4 linked regions of the Nothobranchius furzeri genome follow. The protein of the gene in region 4 purifies or fractionates together with the protein of the main gene of each other region. This does not show direct contact. Links are inferred from orthologs where the notes say so. Each region holds a gene or a part of one and is shown on either strand. Other genes may lie near its edges. The genes, in order: lamtor5, lamtor2, lamtor1 and slc38a9.

Region 1 (4,193 bases), on a different chromosome or scaffold from region 4:
TACAAATGAATAAAGTAAACAATAAGATAAGAGATATAAAATATATAGAGGCTGGTATGTGCAAAACAGTGGCATTAATGTACAGTATGGAATGTGTAATGTTGGAGTTTCAGTAGTGAGGGTGAGGTGTCTGTGAAGTGTTCAGCAGTCTGATGGCCTGATGGAAAAAGCTGTCTCTCAGTCTGCTGGTTCTGGACCGGATGCTGCAGAACCTCCTTCCTGATGGAAGTAGTCTGAACAGTTTATGGCTGGGGTGACTTGAGTCCTTGATGATCCTCCCCGTTTTCCTCAGGCACCGCTTCTTATAGATGTCCTGGAGGGAGGGAAGCTCACCTCCAATAATCCTTTCTGCACACCGCACTACTCTCTGGAGAGCTTTGCGGTTGTAAGCGGTGCTGTTGCCATACCAGGTGGAGATGCATCCAGTGAGGATGCTCTCAATGGCACAGCAATAGAAGGTCCTGAGGATACGGTGGCTCATGCCAAATCTTTTCAGTCTTCTGAGAAAGAAGAGGCGCTGCTGTGCCTTCTTCACTGTATTTTCCGTGTGCACTGACCACGTAAGATCCTCTGCCAGGTGAACTCCAAGGAAACGGAAACTGCTCACCCTCTCCACAGCGTCGCCGTTGATGGTGATGGGGGGGTGTATTCCTCTGCTTCCTCTGCTCCTCCGGAAGTCCACTATCATCTCCTTTGTCTTTGTGACGTTGAGGGTGAGACTGTTGTCCTGACACCAGTGGGTCAGGGCGCTGATCTCCTCCCTGTAGGCCGTCTCATCGTGATTGGTGATGAGACCTATCACTGTGGTGTCGTTCGCATACTTCACAATGATGTTGGAGTTTCTCGTGGCCGTGCAGTCGTAGGTGTAGAGTGAGTACAGGAGAGGGCTCAGCACACACCCCTGCGGTGCACCAGTGTTCAGTGTGACGGGGGATGAGGTGGTGCCGCCCATAACATTATTATTATTATTATTATTATTGGAAAATTTAATAAAACTTGAAGGAAAATGCTAATTCTTTCTATCTATCTATCTATCTATCTATCTATCTATCTATCTATCTATCTATCTATCAATCTATCAATCTATCTATCTATCTATCTATCTATCATCTATCTATCTATCTATCTATCTATCTATCTATCTATCTATCTATCTATCTATCTATCTATCTATCTATCTATCTATCTATCTATCTATCTATCTATCTATCTATCTATCTATCAATCATCTATCTATCTATCTATGCCTATTTTGTTTATGTAATGTAAATGGAAAGATTTTGCGTTCTCTCTCTCTCTCTCTCTCTCTCTCTCTCTCTCTTTCTCTTTCGCGTCACACTTTTTGGTCCTCGTTGTGACTCGTAGCGCACGTGACGGTCAGCTGACTCTAACCGGAAACGTCGATGAAACTGTAAACAATTAAACCTTCTCTCTTTTCGTTTGTTAACGATGGAGTCGACTCTTGAACAGCATCTCGATGACACGTACGTTAAAAATCTCACTCTAACTGCTGACGTACTTCACTTTTTGTTTCATTAAAGCCTTTCTCCTTGTTTTTTTGTAGCATGAAGAATCCAGCAGTTGTCGGTGTGCTCTGCACAGATCACCAAGGACACAACCTGGGCTGTAAGATTAATTTAAAAAAGATTTACAGCAAAATGTATGAAACATATTCGGTTTAGTTAGCTTTTACAAGGCTACGTCAGTGTCGTGTTCTTTTTTTTTTGAATAATGAAATAACTTAGTTGCAGCAAAAGCTATTAATGTAACACACAAATAATATTATTTCCTTCAGTTTAGCTATTTTCATCTGTAAAGGTTGAAATACATACTACAGTATAGTTGAAGTTACTGTGAATCATACATTTCAACCATTAAAATCTCAACTTATTTCACATGCCAGAAAATCTTCACAGTGTTTGCACTGTTAGCATAATGAGATTAGCATTTCTGATGGAATGAGCTCTTCTGGCTGTTTAACAGGTCAACAGGAAGCTGCTGTAATTAAATTTAATCACAAAGGCTAATGAGGTATAATTAAAATTAAAATGTAATGTTTTTATAATTCTCTAAACACAACCAATCCAAAATGATGCTTATAATTGTTTATTGTTGATTATTACTCATAAACTAATAAATACTAAATGCTTAATAACCACGCAGTTAGTTAGTGAGGTCATTTATGAACATTATTCACATACAACAATTACTGTCATTGGGAAAGTGAATACTCCGTGGAATTGATTCTGTGTTACTTGTTTGGCTTCCATGGTTTAGTTTGAACTTTGATCTCTTCTACAATTCATCAAACTTCAGGGAGATGAACATGCTCTAAATTTTACTTAGGCTGTGAATTCAGAACATATCCAGTCCATTTTCATCAGCTGTGCAATGAAACACAAAGCAGAACAACTGATGATAATATAAAGTAATTATTTTACTTCCCAGAGGACTCCTGCAGCAGCTGACAGGTATCATGTGGTCTGAAGAATCACAGCTTGACGGTTGCTGGAGCATAGAACTTGCTGGAGGGGCTGTCTGCCCTCTAGCTGTCTTGATGGAGATGGAGAGTCACTGAGATCAGAGAAATCTGAGCTTCGCTCCTGGACCTGTTAGCAACCCAGACTTTGATAATTGGAAGAAAAATGATGGATATATCAGTATATATATTTTTTCTGTTCGGTTTAATTAATATTTATAACAGAGGCATCCAGCAAAGTCTAAGCTCTTTGTTAGCGTCCTCATACTTTTATTATCTTTTTAGGTCTTGTTGAAAGTTATTTTGAAAAGGTTATGATGTAACTGTTGGAAGTGGGTAAACATGAGTATTGTTTTGTGTAGTCAGTAGCAATGTTTCCCTGGTACATGGACAAACCTAAATGAAATAGTCAAAAGATGCAGAAGACAGAAACCAAACAATGAGTTCAACATGATTCAGATCCTCGAGAGACCCCAGAATTCAGAAATCCTCAGTCTGGACTAAATAACAGCAGTGGGACAGAAATGTTTGTAATATGTTAACAATCCTTCATAAGGAGGTCATTGTTGTATACAGGTTTGGAATTAACACAAATCACAGAAAATGACTGTTTGAAAGATGCACTGATTTCCTTTTTTTAAGACATTTAAATAATTCATTGCGTGTTTCTTTTCTTTTTTCTTTTAGGTCGTGGCTCCTTGTCTGATGAACATGGTGGTGTTGTGTCTGTTTTGTCCAAACAAGCTATGGCGCTCACCAGAGACCCAACAGTCACCCCGACCGTGTGCCTGGAGTCTGAGTCAGGGTGAGAGCACTGACCGGGTTTTAGCTTGACTTGTAATTCTTTTTAAAAATCTATCTCGGGGTATTTAAGATGTACCTTTGGGGGTTCTGATTAATGTGTACGGAGATCAATTACTCTAAAAAAAGCTTTTTGAGAGAGATCAGAACCAGAGACTCAGGGTTCTGAATCTGATCCAGTGGTTCACTGTCTCCCAGCAGCTATTAGCATCCGGGTCCGAGCCTTCATCGCGGTTGCTAAAACCAGTACGCTTATCTGGTTCCTCCAGTTTCTATTTACTTACCAAAGGCAATGCCATTTGTGACTTTGAACTGAACATGCTCGGTTCTTGGCATTAGATTCCAGAATGTTGTTCATTTCTTTCCCAAAAGGCAGCTGAGATATTTTCTTGAGACTCCAAGCCCTTTTTAATTTCCCCTAATAACCTCGTAGACATTTAAATAACCCCATCATCATTAAAAACGGGTCCAAAGTTGAACTACAGAATAAAAAATTAAAAAGCCAATGTCCTCTTTAGTGGACGGAGGCTCCATGGAGGATGGAGAGGGAGGAAGTCAACCAACTGTGGGATTTTATTTATGTCGTTGTGCTGCCATCTTCTGGTAAATGAACATCTCGTCTTTCAGAACATTTTACCAACCCAATGACAGCTCCTGAATATTTATTTATTTAAAATTACTGCTGCGAACTTTCAATCTCAGATATAATTTGTTATCTCAAAAGTCTAAATAACATAAATACAAATACAAACGGTTTTGAGTCCGATTCAAGGCTTATTTTAGCTTTTACATCAGTTATATTCAAACAGTATTTTTAGGTTGTGATTGATCATCTCCACAGCCAGAACTCAGTGTTCCATGAACCACTGGGCCATCGGGACCCCAACTTTTGGAACCACTGCTTTAATTATGT
Region 2 (3,900 bases), on a different chromosome or scaffold from region 4:
TTATTGCAAAACTGTATAGGCATTTAACTCCAGGTTTGGGTGATTAAAATTTTTATTTTGAAAGCTGAGACTTTCTTTATCTGGCTGCAGGTGAGAAAGTATATTTGATGCTAATGCCTCAAGAGAAAATCACTAACTGGTATCAATTAAAACTCATTAGTTGATTAAATGGAGTTAAACAGAATGCACATGCACTCGTGAGTTTTCTTAGCTTTTAAGTTACCCAGATCTTCTGACTTATTAAAAAAGGTTTTGTTTTTAAAGTATTGGATACTGAAAGAGTGAAAAGTTTCATCAGATTTTTGTGAAATCTGTGATTACTGAAAGAAATAAAATTATCTGGTGATGAAACTCAAAGACAAGCAAGGTAAGCTTCTCTAAACCCGCAAATTCTCCCTTTCACAAGATTTTCAGAGCAAATTTAAGTTTATCTCACCTGATACTGCATATTTAAAATTGTTTAAAAACGTTCAGAGGTGTATACGAGGGTGAAACACACCCAACCGTCACCAGCTCAAAGCAGGATTTAAAAGAATGGGTGACTCTGAGCCAGTATCTCTCATTTATCAAACAACCTTGACATAAAACACAAGTAAATAACAATCTCAACTGCATTTTTCAGAAAGATTCATATAAAATCTCCACACACGTTTTTATCATGATGTACATCTGTGACTCCTAAAAATGTTCAGTTTCACATTGAACAACAAAACTATGACCGAATGGACCGATTCCAAGTGAAAACTGAAAATGGAATCACATTTCAGCTGTACACACACACACACACACACACACACACACACACACACACACACACACACACACACACACACACACACACACACACACACACACACACACACCCCTCCATTTAGAGACATGGCCCTTTGTACACTTAGTGTTGGACAGGAGGGTTACAGCAGTCCACCGATGACCTGAACAGCTGATTTCTTCTTCAGTTCAGACCAACAGAAGCGTTGGTCGGATCTTCACTACGATGCGGCCACTTGAGTCAACGGTTCCTCCAGATACTGAACCAGAGCCTCTGCCTACAAACACAATAAAGCACAATTACTGGAAAAGATTAAATCTGGTACGACCTTTAAACTGATCAGAAACTTCAGCCTCAGTTCAGATTTAGCTGGGTTCTCCATGAGCTGCTCTAGCTGGACAAACCTGATGAACCTCATCCACGTGCCTCCCTGGGTCACTCTAAAGGACTTCCTGTTTTAAACAGTGGAACAGAAGTCTAGAACCACTCAGCACATTCCTCAGAAATACTAAAAGTGGTTTAATCTGTGTTTAAATGATTAGTTTCAAATGATTTGCACATTCAATGGTTTATTTAATGATCTGCCCTTACATTTTAGCCCTTTAAGTATAAAACGTTTTAGTTAAGACTTACGTTTAATATATGTGAACAGAATATGTCAATAGAAAGTGTTGAAAGGGTTAAAAGCAAAGTTAAAAGCAGTTTTCTTTGCCATCCAAACAACTGTTGTAAAATAATGCTTTAAACTCAATTGACAGAAGAGCTCCAACACATAAAATCTTTACCAATAAAAAGCAAAACGTGGGAAACAATTAGAAGAAAAGGCCCCGAACTCTCACCTTGGCTTTCAGCATCCCGAATCCCACAGTCTCTTTGGCATATATGCACAGCAGCAGGTTGGCTACACGAGTGATGGCCACTCTTCCCTCCTTAAAAAAAAACAAATACACAGAAGAAGGTTACAATTTGAGGTCAGCCTAATGTTTTAGCCTGAATCGGAGCTGTGTTTCTCACCATACAGTCCATGAGGATGAAGGTAAGCTTGTCTTCGTTGAAGGCTTGGTGGCCATTCTTGTCGTAAGCTGCCCAGATGTTGCTGGCGATGGCAGCTGTTACGCGTGCATCGGTATCTCCATAACCAGAGTAAGCCAGGAGGGAACCTTCATTATTCAGCAAGCTGAGAGGATAAACACGTGACACATACTAAGACAGCCTACTCATAAGTTATCTGTGTTGTTAGAAATAATCTTGATGTATGTTTAGATGGTGCAGCTAATGCCTCATCATACAATTAACATTTAGAAAGGTTGACTATTTTAGACACTAATGTGTAAATTAGAAATATTTTATAAATCATCTCATTGAAATTGATCATTATAAACCGAGGTATTTGTTAGGATCTGTTGCAACAGCGTTCTAATCTGTGACATTATAAAAACAGCTACGATAAAAATCATTAAATGCGCAAGTTTTACATTCAAATAACTAAAATTATGTCTTTTAAGCATTAAGAGTTCCCAAAAAACAACGCTTATTTTTCTTTGGGCGAGCTTTCCTTGTACAAAAAACGATAAGCAGCTAAGAGTCAGAGTAAATAGCATCTTAGCATCTCGTTAGCTTGTCGCTAACTCGTACTTACAGAGTGCTCTGGACTCCGTTTGTGTTCGCTTGGCTGAGGACCTGCGTCAGAGCTTTGGGTCGCAACATCGCTGTCGACCTCACCAAAGAATAAAAACGGTTTTAATAATAATAAGAAAAAAACACGAAGTATTTTGATAGTATGTTGATGTACGTGAAGAGCAATGCGTCCAGGCAGTCAGCTGACTTGTCTTTCCGCATTTCCGGCTTCCTTCGCATTGCACTTTGGGAAATGTTGTCTCGCGGTCGTAACTAAAAAGGATTTTCATTGGCCGTGCTCGAGTTGATGGCCTCGCCTGGAAAACAGACGAGAGCAGACGGAAGCAGCAGGGGGAGTGGCTGAAAGCCGGCGTTTAGGTCGGACACAATTTCCTGCATGTGTAGGATGGCTGAAGATATCGCGTTAGAGTTACTTGTTTAATTTTCAATTTTAATTCTGGTGCCTGTTAGCAGCTGAAACACATCCTCACGTGCTTGTGGATATCATGTATTGTATATGAAGACATGATTGTAATAATAAGCAGTGTTGGGAACGTTACTTTAAAAAAGTAATTAGTTATAGTTACTGATTACTTTGTCAAAAAAGTAACTCAGTTACTAACTGAGTTACAAGATCATAAAAGTAACTAATTACCAACAAAAGTAACTACTTAGTTACTTTTTTCATTAAAGAATGCAAGAATTACTACAATAGTAAAATATAAATGACTAATGACTGAACATAATAAAATGTATGTCCAAATGTTTTATATAAACCTGAATAATTTAAACAAATATGCACTTAACAGGAGGAACTACTAATAGGAACATTACACTAATCTAGACTATTAAAAGGTCACTGTGTGATATTTAACAAGACCCCAATCAGCTAAAATTTAAAATTGCAAATAGAAACACCTGTAAAGGTTCCCGAGCCTTTAAATGGTCTCTCAGTCTAGTTAAATTACAGAAATAAATGTAATTTTGCACAGTATTCTAATTTTTCCAGCTTCACATAATTGTGTGTTTTTAGCAGCATTTCTGTTGCTGCTAATCTAGTAACGGTTAAATAAATAAATAAATATCCTTTAAAATGACACTAGAAGAGGCACAGATCTGATGGAGGACTTACATTTACTAACTTGGGTCAGACCCAACCACAGAAGAGCTGAAGCTGGGTGGTGAACACACACAGTTCTGATAACACCTGAGCTCCATGACGTCTGAGACTGATGCATCAGTGTTACAGCGGGACTAAAGACATGATCAGAAACAGGTTACAGCTGGATGATCTAGGAAGGTAGAAGATCAGGACGTCTGAGCGGACCTTCGGGACGTCCCGCTGTCACGCTAAGAAGGGCACGGCTGCAGACCCGCACCTGCAGCCGTAGATATTCATCACGTGTTCCTCGTTCTTCACGGGCCGTGACGCACTTGGATGAAAACATCTACCTCTTTAGCTCCTGATCAGCTGATGATAACAGCTTCAACACACCGCGCTGCTTCACGCA
Region 3 (4,118 bases), on a different chromosome or scaffold from region 4:
AAGAATGTGATCTGTGTGTGATTTACCTGCTGAACATCTGAATATGGCACCAGGTCACTTGCAAGAACTTGGTGGGGCTGGCTAGTTAGAGAGGGAAGAGTGTCTGCTTTCTTTGGGGGCAGGTTGGTGCTCAACACAGCCAACTTTGAACTATAAAAAAACCCAATCAAAAACAAACTTGCAATTAATTTGAGTTAAAATGACTCAAAAACAAATGTTTTCCATGAACTGAACGGCTGTTTATTCACAAGTACGTTTTTAGATGCAATATAATTAGATGCCCACTAGAGGTCACTAAAAAGGAGGAGGCAAGGCCGGCCTTATTGTAATTTTGAGGTCTGGTGTTGAAATTCCTTATTTCATGTCAGCAGTTTTCTTCTTCCCCAGCTGTATGGCCTCCAAAAAGACAGTTTTACGTTGTTCATTTCCTGAATGACTTTAATAAAACATTTTTAATTAAAGCCCAAATAAACTTCAGATTCAGTCTCATCAACAACTCTTTCAGGTCAACTAGTTCCAGAAGAATAAAAGTAGAACCTCCCATCAAAAATAAAGTATCAGTCTATAACAAACATCTACTCGTCTACATGCCTGTATTGTCTAGCTTTGTCCATGTATTCACGCTGCTCCATAACCACTGATTCCGTTGCAGAGACATCAATGATATTCCTGGAAGACAAGAAAAACAACGTTAGTTATATTATGATTATTCTCTATTCCAACACTCTTAACGGATGCTGTAGTACGATGCAGTCACACATCATCGGTTATAGTCCCAACATCCGTGTAGTGCTGCACTAGTAACCTGGAGGTGCATGACTAATACCTTCTAGTTCAATTACACAAATGTTATTTCACATGATCTAAAAGTCATTGATAAAGTTTCTTTGGATGGTAAATATGTTGTGTTTAGACTCATCAGTGGAAGCGTCTTACTGTGCGGCCTTCGTGAGGATGGATGTAAGGATAGCCTGCTCAGTTGCCTGTGCAGAGGGAACACTGGGAGTGATCCAGTCGGTCCCATTTGGAGGTTTGTTGACAGGGTTCGGATGGGGTATTAGTGACTCCGTTTCACTGTTCTTCTAGAGCAGAGTTGGAATAAAATAGAAATAATGTGATCAGGTAGTTTTAGCAAATTATACGTTTAATAAAACAAACAAGAGACTATGAGATTAAACGATTAGTTATTAGATATGTTTTCTGGGGAGAAGGAGTAAACGTTACACAAAATATATGTAGAAGAAGAATTAATCAAAGTTTGTTTAAAACAACTTTCATGCATTATACAAATGTCCGTCCAACTTCTTTACGATTACATGTTATAAACAATGACAGAAATGTATAAAGGTGGGGGACACTCATTTAATAAGTAGATTTACAGTGGTGTCTAATAGGAATGAATGCCTTGCAAGTTGTACTCTGGAGGAAAAAAAGCTCCAGTGCACCTGTTTCAGGAACTAGAATATTGTCACATTAGAGGAGAACTTCAAATGACAGGAGCTATACTCTTACGTCCTGATATTTGGAAACCTTGTCTCAGATAACACAAGCCTGATAGAGTTCTGCCATGTGGTAGAGTTGCTAATGCTAATAGTAATGGTTAGCTTCTACTAGCCGAGACACACTGTTGTTTCCTGGATGATAGACCAACAACAGCCTTCCCTGTGAGTCATGATGGGTGAGTCCATGAATGTTAAGTGACAGTGTGACGTAAATCTGTCAGGATTTTCTAATCCTAGCGTTTCATCGTCTGTCTTCTATCAGAAGCTAATGCTGGAGATAGGTGTAGGAGACTATGTTCATGTTCTGCCTGAATAAAAAACTCAAGAGTGGTCAGTTATAATCAGAAATGATCATTAAAAGGTTTTTCAGTGTTCCAGACCTTTAATTTTCCTTTGTTCAGAAACAGAGAGCTGATTATATACAATCTTAAATATATCAAAGTCATTCTGCCTTAAAATTTACATTTATCTGAAACTGTAAAGAAAAATGTATATTTTCAGACTAACATAGGTTAAATAGACTGGTTGTACCCAGGTTGTACCCTAACCCTAAGATGAAATGTATTAATCTACTTAAAGAGAAACTGATTATGAGGAAGGATGAAGACAAACTGGTTTATTTCCCTAAACTAAAATAAAACTGGGATATTTACAGCAGCCATATGACACCACGCACATCCACATGATGTTCAGTTATTTAGCTCCTTGACACACGGGTCACAATTGATTATTTAGCCAATAAGTAGAGAAGAAATCAGTCTATTCCTGATTAGCAGGACCTTTGGGAGGCTATAAATCCTCATGCCCCACTAAACAGGACAATAGCAGAAAATGATGTGCTCGCAGCTTTACTAAACACTTGATTTTTGCCCTCAGGACAGTTTATTCTGAACTGTTTCTGACCTGCGCTAACTCAAAGGGCTGCCTTTAGCCCAGGCCTTAGCAAGCTGACGCTTCCTGTTTAATGTTACGGACAACAAACGAGTTATGTGTGAACATGAAATGGCTCATTCACTAAACACTGTCAAGACACCTAGCCAGCAGAACTTATTTAGTGTTTGAATAAACGAATGAAGTTAACTGTTTTAGCTTTAGCCGCCAGCTAGCTAGCTACCTACCTCCCTGGAGTTGTCGTCCTCGCCACTGTAACAGCAACCCATGGCAACGTCCAAGGCTGAAACTAAACTACCCCGGCTTCCCTGCGCTCCTTCAGAAACGAGCAGAGCTCTTCTTCCCCTGCAAACATAAAGCTTTGTTTGTTTCTTACTGTTGTTACTACGGCCCCATACAAAAGTAGGAATCTACTGTCCACAGCAGCTTCTGAGTGAGGCTATCACATGACAGCAGCTGTGGTGCAACAACAACACAACAACTACTTCCGGTATTTGAGAAGCAGCGACGTCCCAGGACACGTGAGGGCAGAAATGTTGAACGTTCTTATCAGAAACCTCGGCAGAACTAAAAATGGTGACTGATAATTAAAAAAAGCATAAATGTTCCAGTCATAGGGGCTCCCAAAACAGGATTTGCTTTTTTCAATAACTTTATTGAACAAAGTTCATTTACAAAATAAGAGAACAAATGAAATACAAGCAGAATACAGCATTTTGCGTTTTTGCCACAGTTAAATGTTTCATGTTAGCAAAAAATAAATAAATACGGGGAGAAAATAACCCAAGTAAATAAAAGTCTGTTTTCAAATGATGGGAAAAAGTCTATATCCAAATCAGTCCAGGGGAAAAATTACTCCCTAAAATTATAGTTGTAAAACTTTGTGAGACATCAAGAGCATGCAAGCATTTCCAATAACTGCACATAAGTCTCTCACATTGGTGTGGAGAAGTTTAAGTCTACAATTCATTTTAAATGTTTTTGGCATGTTTAAATTAAAAGTTCAGACATTCTCCATGGGCCAGGTACCGTTTGTATGATGATCTTTTTCTGAAACTCACTGTTAGTTTCCCACAAGATGAGTCACAAATCTTACAAAACGTTTCACTTTTGTCTCAACGGTCCACAAAATGTTCATCCATCCTTTTGTTAAACCAGATTATCCATGCAGGCATCTATAGGCAGAGACTCAAACCCAGACCAAGGGCAAATGGGAATCTGATTTTTTTTTATAGGACATTGGTTTGTGTAAGTTGGACAGAGTTAGAAAATAAAGCAAGTCAGCACAGGTACTGTTCTACTGGGAACCTTTGCTCCTTCCTTTTATGTGGATGCAGTTTTAACATTTACAACCTTCATGGGAGTTGTTGCATCTCCTTTTTCTCTCATGCCAGCAGCTGTTTCAGATGGGAAATGTGCCACTAAAGTTCAAGAATAACTGTTTTTTAGCTTTAAAATGTTGTTTTAGAGAAGGGTATCCATGTTAAATAACTGATTATTGTGTAAGATAATGAGATTGCCTCTTTCCTTTTTGTCAATCTAAAAACATCAAGTGTTTGATCAAAACTTTTCCCAAGCTTGCTGTGCAGGATGAACAAGAGACAGAAACAGGATGAGGCATGTTGGTGAACAAGTGGCAGCTTCTCTGAGAAAGATGAAAGGGTCTCAGATGCCTTTGACTGAGTGCATAATAAAAACAGTGTAACAAACCAGTTCCAGTTTATT
Region 4 (4,204 bases):
CGTTTGTCGCCTCCCGTGTGTCGAGCCCATAAGGCGTTGATGTTATCTTGCAGTTGACAAACCAACATCTTTAAATGAAACTAATACCAGCATGAACTATTTTCTTCCATTGTTTAGGTTAAACCTTTACATTCAGCTTCACTAAAGCTTTCCTGGAGGTGGTTGGAGGGACCGATGGCATCTGTGTATAGCAGCCTCGCTTCTGTCAATGTGCCTCAGGGCAGCTGTGGCTACAGTGTAGCTCACCATCTCCAGTGTGTGTGTGTGTGTGTGTGTGTGTGTGTGTGTGTGTGTGTGTGTGTGTGTGTGTGTGTGTGTGTGTGTGTGTGTGTGTGTGTGTGTGTGTGTGTGTGTGTGTGTGTGTGTGTGTGTGTGTGTGTGTGTGTGTGTGTGTGCGCGCGCCTTGGGGTGCTTAGAAGGTGCTACATAAATACAGGTCATCTCCTCCATTTGTGTCACTTTGTTCTGGCTGTGGTCCAGCAGCTGAGGAAGTGTCCTTCAGCAGAGCAGACCTCTGTGATGTGACTAACATGGCTCCCTGTCCAACTTGGCCTACTGGGAATATTAGGTCTAAAGACACAAGTTTCTGAAAAGACTGACTGAATTCAGTTTGACCTGACCAGGTGTTTATCACCAATAACGTCAGGCCCACTGAACCGGTCGAAGCACCTCAGAGATCCCAGCCTCCAGTCTGACCATTGCAGTGTTTCATGGGCATCTACCGTTTGACTTTGCAGTCCAGGGAGTCGGTGGATCCTCGGTTGGAGTAGGTCTCTCCGGTGTACTGGGAGCTCAGCAGAGGTCTGCCCTCATCCTCCATGATCACCTCAGACGTCAACTAAAGACTCACATTCCCTGTCTGAAAGAGCATGCAGTCAGTCATATAACAAACAAACACAACTCAGCTGTGTGCTGAAACGGGCATAAAGACATCAATCCAACCTCTGTGTAATAACAATGTTCCTTAAATAGTGGTTAGTATGAGCTACATGTCCATGAGTCAGCATGTGTGTACAGGGAACAGAGGAAAATATTTTTGTGAAAAGGCTGAACTACGGTGTCTCTTTCATTCCTGTTTGGTTTGGTCTGAGCTGCCTGCTGCTGACGCTCCCTTCGGCTCAGTGTCAAATTATCCTGCTTTTCCATTTTTTACCTCCTCTGTAGTTACAAGAGCTTCAATTTTAAGACACACGTTTAGCTGACAGTCTAAAAAAAATGGTTGCCTCATCACTTGAATGAGGTAGTTCACACTATACGACCGACCTGAAATCCATGAGTCAGGCCTTTTCAAAGGAGGAAGTTCTAAAAGGAAGAACATGCATGTTACTAAACCTATGCTGTCAGACAAAAGCAGAACCATCCAGAGGTTCGGATGATATTTAGTTATTCTGTGTGCTGACTGATTGTTAAATTTTATCTAAGCTACAGTTGTTGTGAAAGGAAAAAAAAAACACTGAATTTATTTTCTTTTAAACTGATGGATTATTTGTCCCAGAAAGTTCACGGACATCAACAAGAAGGACAGTAGTTAGAGGGTGGCTGCTCTGAGTCTTTAATTTCAATATTGTCCAAGGGGGTGTGGGTGCTTTCATGAGTAATGAAGACCCAACTGGTGGTGGTCGACCAGCATTGGACTTCAAGTGTGTTTCACTTTGATTATAATTAAATCTGGTTTCAGAGTGGTTTAAGTTTTTTGTTTTAAAGGCATTTCAGACTCTACGGTCCCCATCTGGAGCTTCTAGCTGCTGTCAGATCATGATTAATCATCTGACAGCTAATGATTTAATTAGTTCTTGTGGTTCCTTTAATTTTTGTTGTGTAAAAACTGGCAGATGTGAAGTTTTCCAGCATTCCCTGTCCAAATAAACCGAGTCAATCCAACTATCCTAGGTCCATTTTCACAGTGTTAAGTAAAACCATTGATTGAGCAGACATGAACTGGTCTCAGTGCTGCTGGGTTCATTTCTTTTTACTGGTGTGTGGTGGGGAGCATGCTGCTGACATCTGTCGCAGCTTGGTCTGGGAAATGGTCTGAGGCTGACATGAAGACGAAGTGGTTAGATCTGCTCATAAATGACCCGCAGCAGCCTCCCAGCTGGTGTGACAGGAGATGCAGAACCTTTTGATGTACAGGTGAAGGGTCTGGTCTTGTCCCAGCATGCATCACAACCTCGTGGTTTCTCTAACTGAAGATTACATCTAAAGTCCAGATAGATCTGCTGAGACCAACTGTATGCAGTAATGCTGTTGTTCTGTTGAGACTTTGACCCATTGATTCTCATTAAACCACAGTCCAATCCTGTCTGAATCAGATTCATCTAAATATCAATCAATAACTCCTTCTTTTGACTTAATCATTTCCAAACGACCAAATGTGTATTTTTTCAGTTGTTCTGTTCCGGTGGATGCGCGCGCATCCAGTAACACAAACTACCGTCTACTTTCCTACCTTAAACAAACACACTAAACCTGACCCAAAGCTGTCAACATATTACAACATGGAAATGGCGGAACCGTTCCACTAAGGCTCGTGGAACATTAGTCCAAATAGAGCGTGAACATCCGGGAAATATTACACGTAAGTGTAGATTCCTTTCGTCCCCGTCAACGTTTCGAAAAGAACCCGGGACCTAAACTGCAGCACGCCGTGTTAAAACTCAATAAAAGATGGAGAGTAGAACTGTTACTAACCTGAGAGCGAGAGGATAACCTCTACGTAGCGCTGTGTCTGCGCTCCACAGACATGTCTGTGTGGCTGTCCCTATCAACTTGTTAGTCATGCTAGTGCTGAATGACGTCAGTTGTTCCATTAATGTATGGCAAGTCCGTGCATCATATATTGCACAACGCAAGTTTTTTTTTAAACCATGGATAATTTATTAACCTGTAGAAAGGTACAATACCGTAACATGGATAACTAATCCGTATTTAAGCAGACTCCGCCCAGATACCTTAGTTGGAGATCTCTTCTCTTCTACTTATGTTTTACAGTAAACTTATTTGAATGAGAAACCCGCATTGTGGGGGCTTGGTAGGACTAAAACAGCATCGACATAAATATACGTATATTTATGTCGATGCTATTTTCCAATCCGCTTTGCCTTAGACCCTGGATCACATATGCTGCACTTACATTTAAATTAAAAGTAATGATGTGTGTTTTGACCACACCAGTCACGTACATTGAGATTTATCAGCTCGTAAAAGTTTTTTGTTAGCATGACTAAATTTGCATATATGACGTCACCACAAAATCTCGTCTCCCCTAGCATACTGCTACTTACCACATGGCCAGACTGATGGTGTTTCCTGAAGAAGGATTTGAAGTTTGTTGAACTTACAGCCATTTACTCTCAGTTTTTCTGTCTGGTTTGATGACGTCACTTTCGTGATTTTCACTTGTAGTCCTGGACGTATTTTCACACAAAACCTAAAATAACATTTCCCCTGTTCAAAAATAAGCTTTCTTGGCATCAAAATGCATCTTTAAAATTCACGGACATCATATGTGAAAATCCATGGCACATGCGGAATTAGAAAATAGCACTTTTAGCACCATAGGGAGCCTAAGTCACGCCCATCTTCTTCTGAACCATGGGTCCCCTGAAGAACGAAAAAATGAATGCAAGTCAATGGGGCTAAAAACGCATGGGGATTGGGGGCCACAAAGAGGGGGCCCGCCCGCTGGCCACCTATTGCCCTATGGGAACCTCTTCAGTTCAGGGTCAGTCTGGTGGCTGGCCAATCACAGCGCTCCATCAGTTTGGTAGCCCAATCTTAGTATTCTATCGGTTTGGTGGTTGGGATTAATGCAATTGAGTGAATCTAAGATGGTGACAGCTCATTTATAACTTTGGCATCAACTTTAGACTATTAGACTTGGGCTTTTCTCCAAGTTAAGAGCAGATAAAGGTACTTCAGTCCTTTGTTTAGAAAAAATATTTATATGCGTCTTTTGTGACAGTGTATGATGCACTGCCCCGTTGATGCACAGACAGTCTGAAAGATAACTGTAGATCGTGCCCCATGACTGAGAGCCGTCAATGTGTCGTGGCCAGACTATATTCATATATAGGGAGCCTAATGGGCCATTCCCATCTGTACCGGGTCGGCCCGGGCCGGGTAGCCCCAGTCGGCCCTAGCCTGGCCCGGTTGATTCCACACATCCTTGTCTTAAGCCCATGTGGGCTGATTCTACCCACCA

The links.
Region 1: the proteins of slc38a9 (region 4) and lamtor5 purify together in Homo sapiens (co-immunoprecipitation; 5 studies listed by BioGRID and IntAct, with this or other methods). This does not show direct contact. The link is inferred for Nothobranchius furzeri from reciprocal best matches to the Homo sapiens genes SLC38A9 and LAMTOR5.
Region 2: the proteins of slc38a9 (region 4) and lamtor2 purify together in Homo sapiens (co-immunoprecipitation; 5 studies listed by BioGRID and IntAct, with this or other methods). This does not show direct contact. The link is inferred for Nothobranchius furzeri from reciprocal best matches to the Homo sapiens genes SLC38A9 and LAMTOR2.
Region 3: the proteins of slc38a9 (region 4) and lamtor1 purify together in Homo sapiens (co-immunoprecipitation; 5 studies listed by BioGRID and IntAct, with this or other methods). This does not show direct contact. The link is inferred for Nothobranchius furzeri from reciprocal best matches to the Homo sapiens genes SLC38A9 and LAMTOR1.

The regions. Positions count from the first base shown.
Region 1 is NC_091755.1:27,982,256-27,986,448, forward strand, and holds the start of lamtor5 (ragulator complex protein LAMTOR5), read left to right. Parts: upstream 1-1,342; 5' UTR 1,343-1,449; coding exon 1,450-1,484; intron 1,485-1,564; coding exon 1,565-1,626; intron 1,627-3,166; coding exon 3,167-3,284; intron 3,285-4,193. UniProt on the Homo sapiens protein: As part of the Ragulator complex it is involved in amino acid sensing and activation of mTORC1, a signaling complex promoting cell growth in response to growth factors, energy levels, and amino acids.
Region 2 is NC_091745.1:61,225,369-61,229,268, forward strand, and holds lamtor2 (ragulator complex protein LAMTOR2), read right to left. Parts: upstream 2,697-3,900; 5' UTR 2,480-2,696; coding exon 2,412-2,479; intron 1,950-2,411; coding exon 1,787-1,949; intron 1,702-1,786; coding exon 1,612-1,701; intron 1,050-1,611; coding exon 993-1,049; 3' UTR 551-992; downstream 1-550. UniProt on the Homo sapiens protein: As part of the Ragulator complex it is involved in amino acid sensing and activation of mTORC1, a signaling complex promoting cell growth in response to growth factors, energy levels, and amino acids.
Region 3 is NC_091753.1:34,139,982-34,144,099, reverse strand, and holds the start of lamtor1 (ragulator complex protein LAMTOR1), read right to left. Parts: upstream 2,840-4,118; 5' UTR 2,663-2,839; coding exon 2,621-2,662; intron 1,083-2,620; coding exon 937-1,082; intron 670-936; coding exon 592-669; intron 151-591; coding exon 27-150; intron 1-26. UniProt on the Homo sapiens protein: Key component of the Ragulator complex, a multiprotein complex involved in amino acid sensing and activation of mTORC1, a signaling complex promoting cell growth in response to growth factors, energy levels, and amino acids.
Region 4 is NC_091746.1:36,518,340-36,522,543, forward strand, and holds the start of slc38a9 (neutral amino acid transporter 9), read right to left. Parts: upstream 2,827-4,204; 5' UTR 2,692-2,826; intron 860-2,691; 5' UTR 821-859; coding exon 723-820; intron 1-722.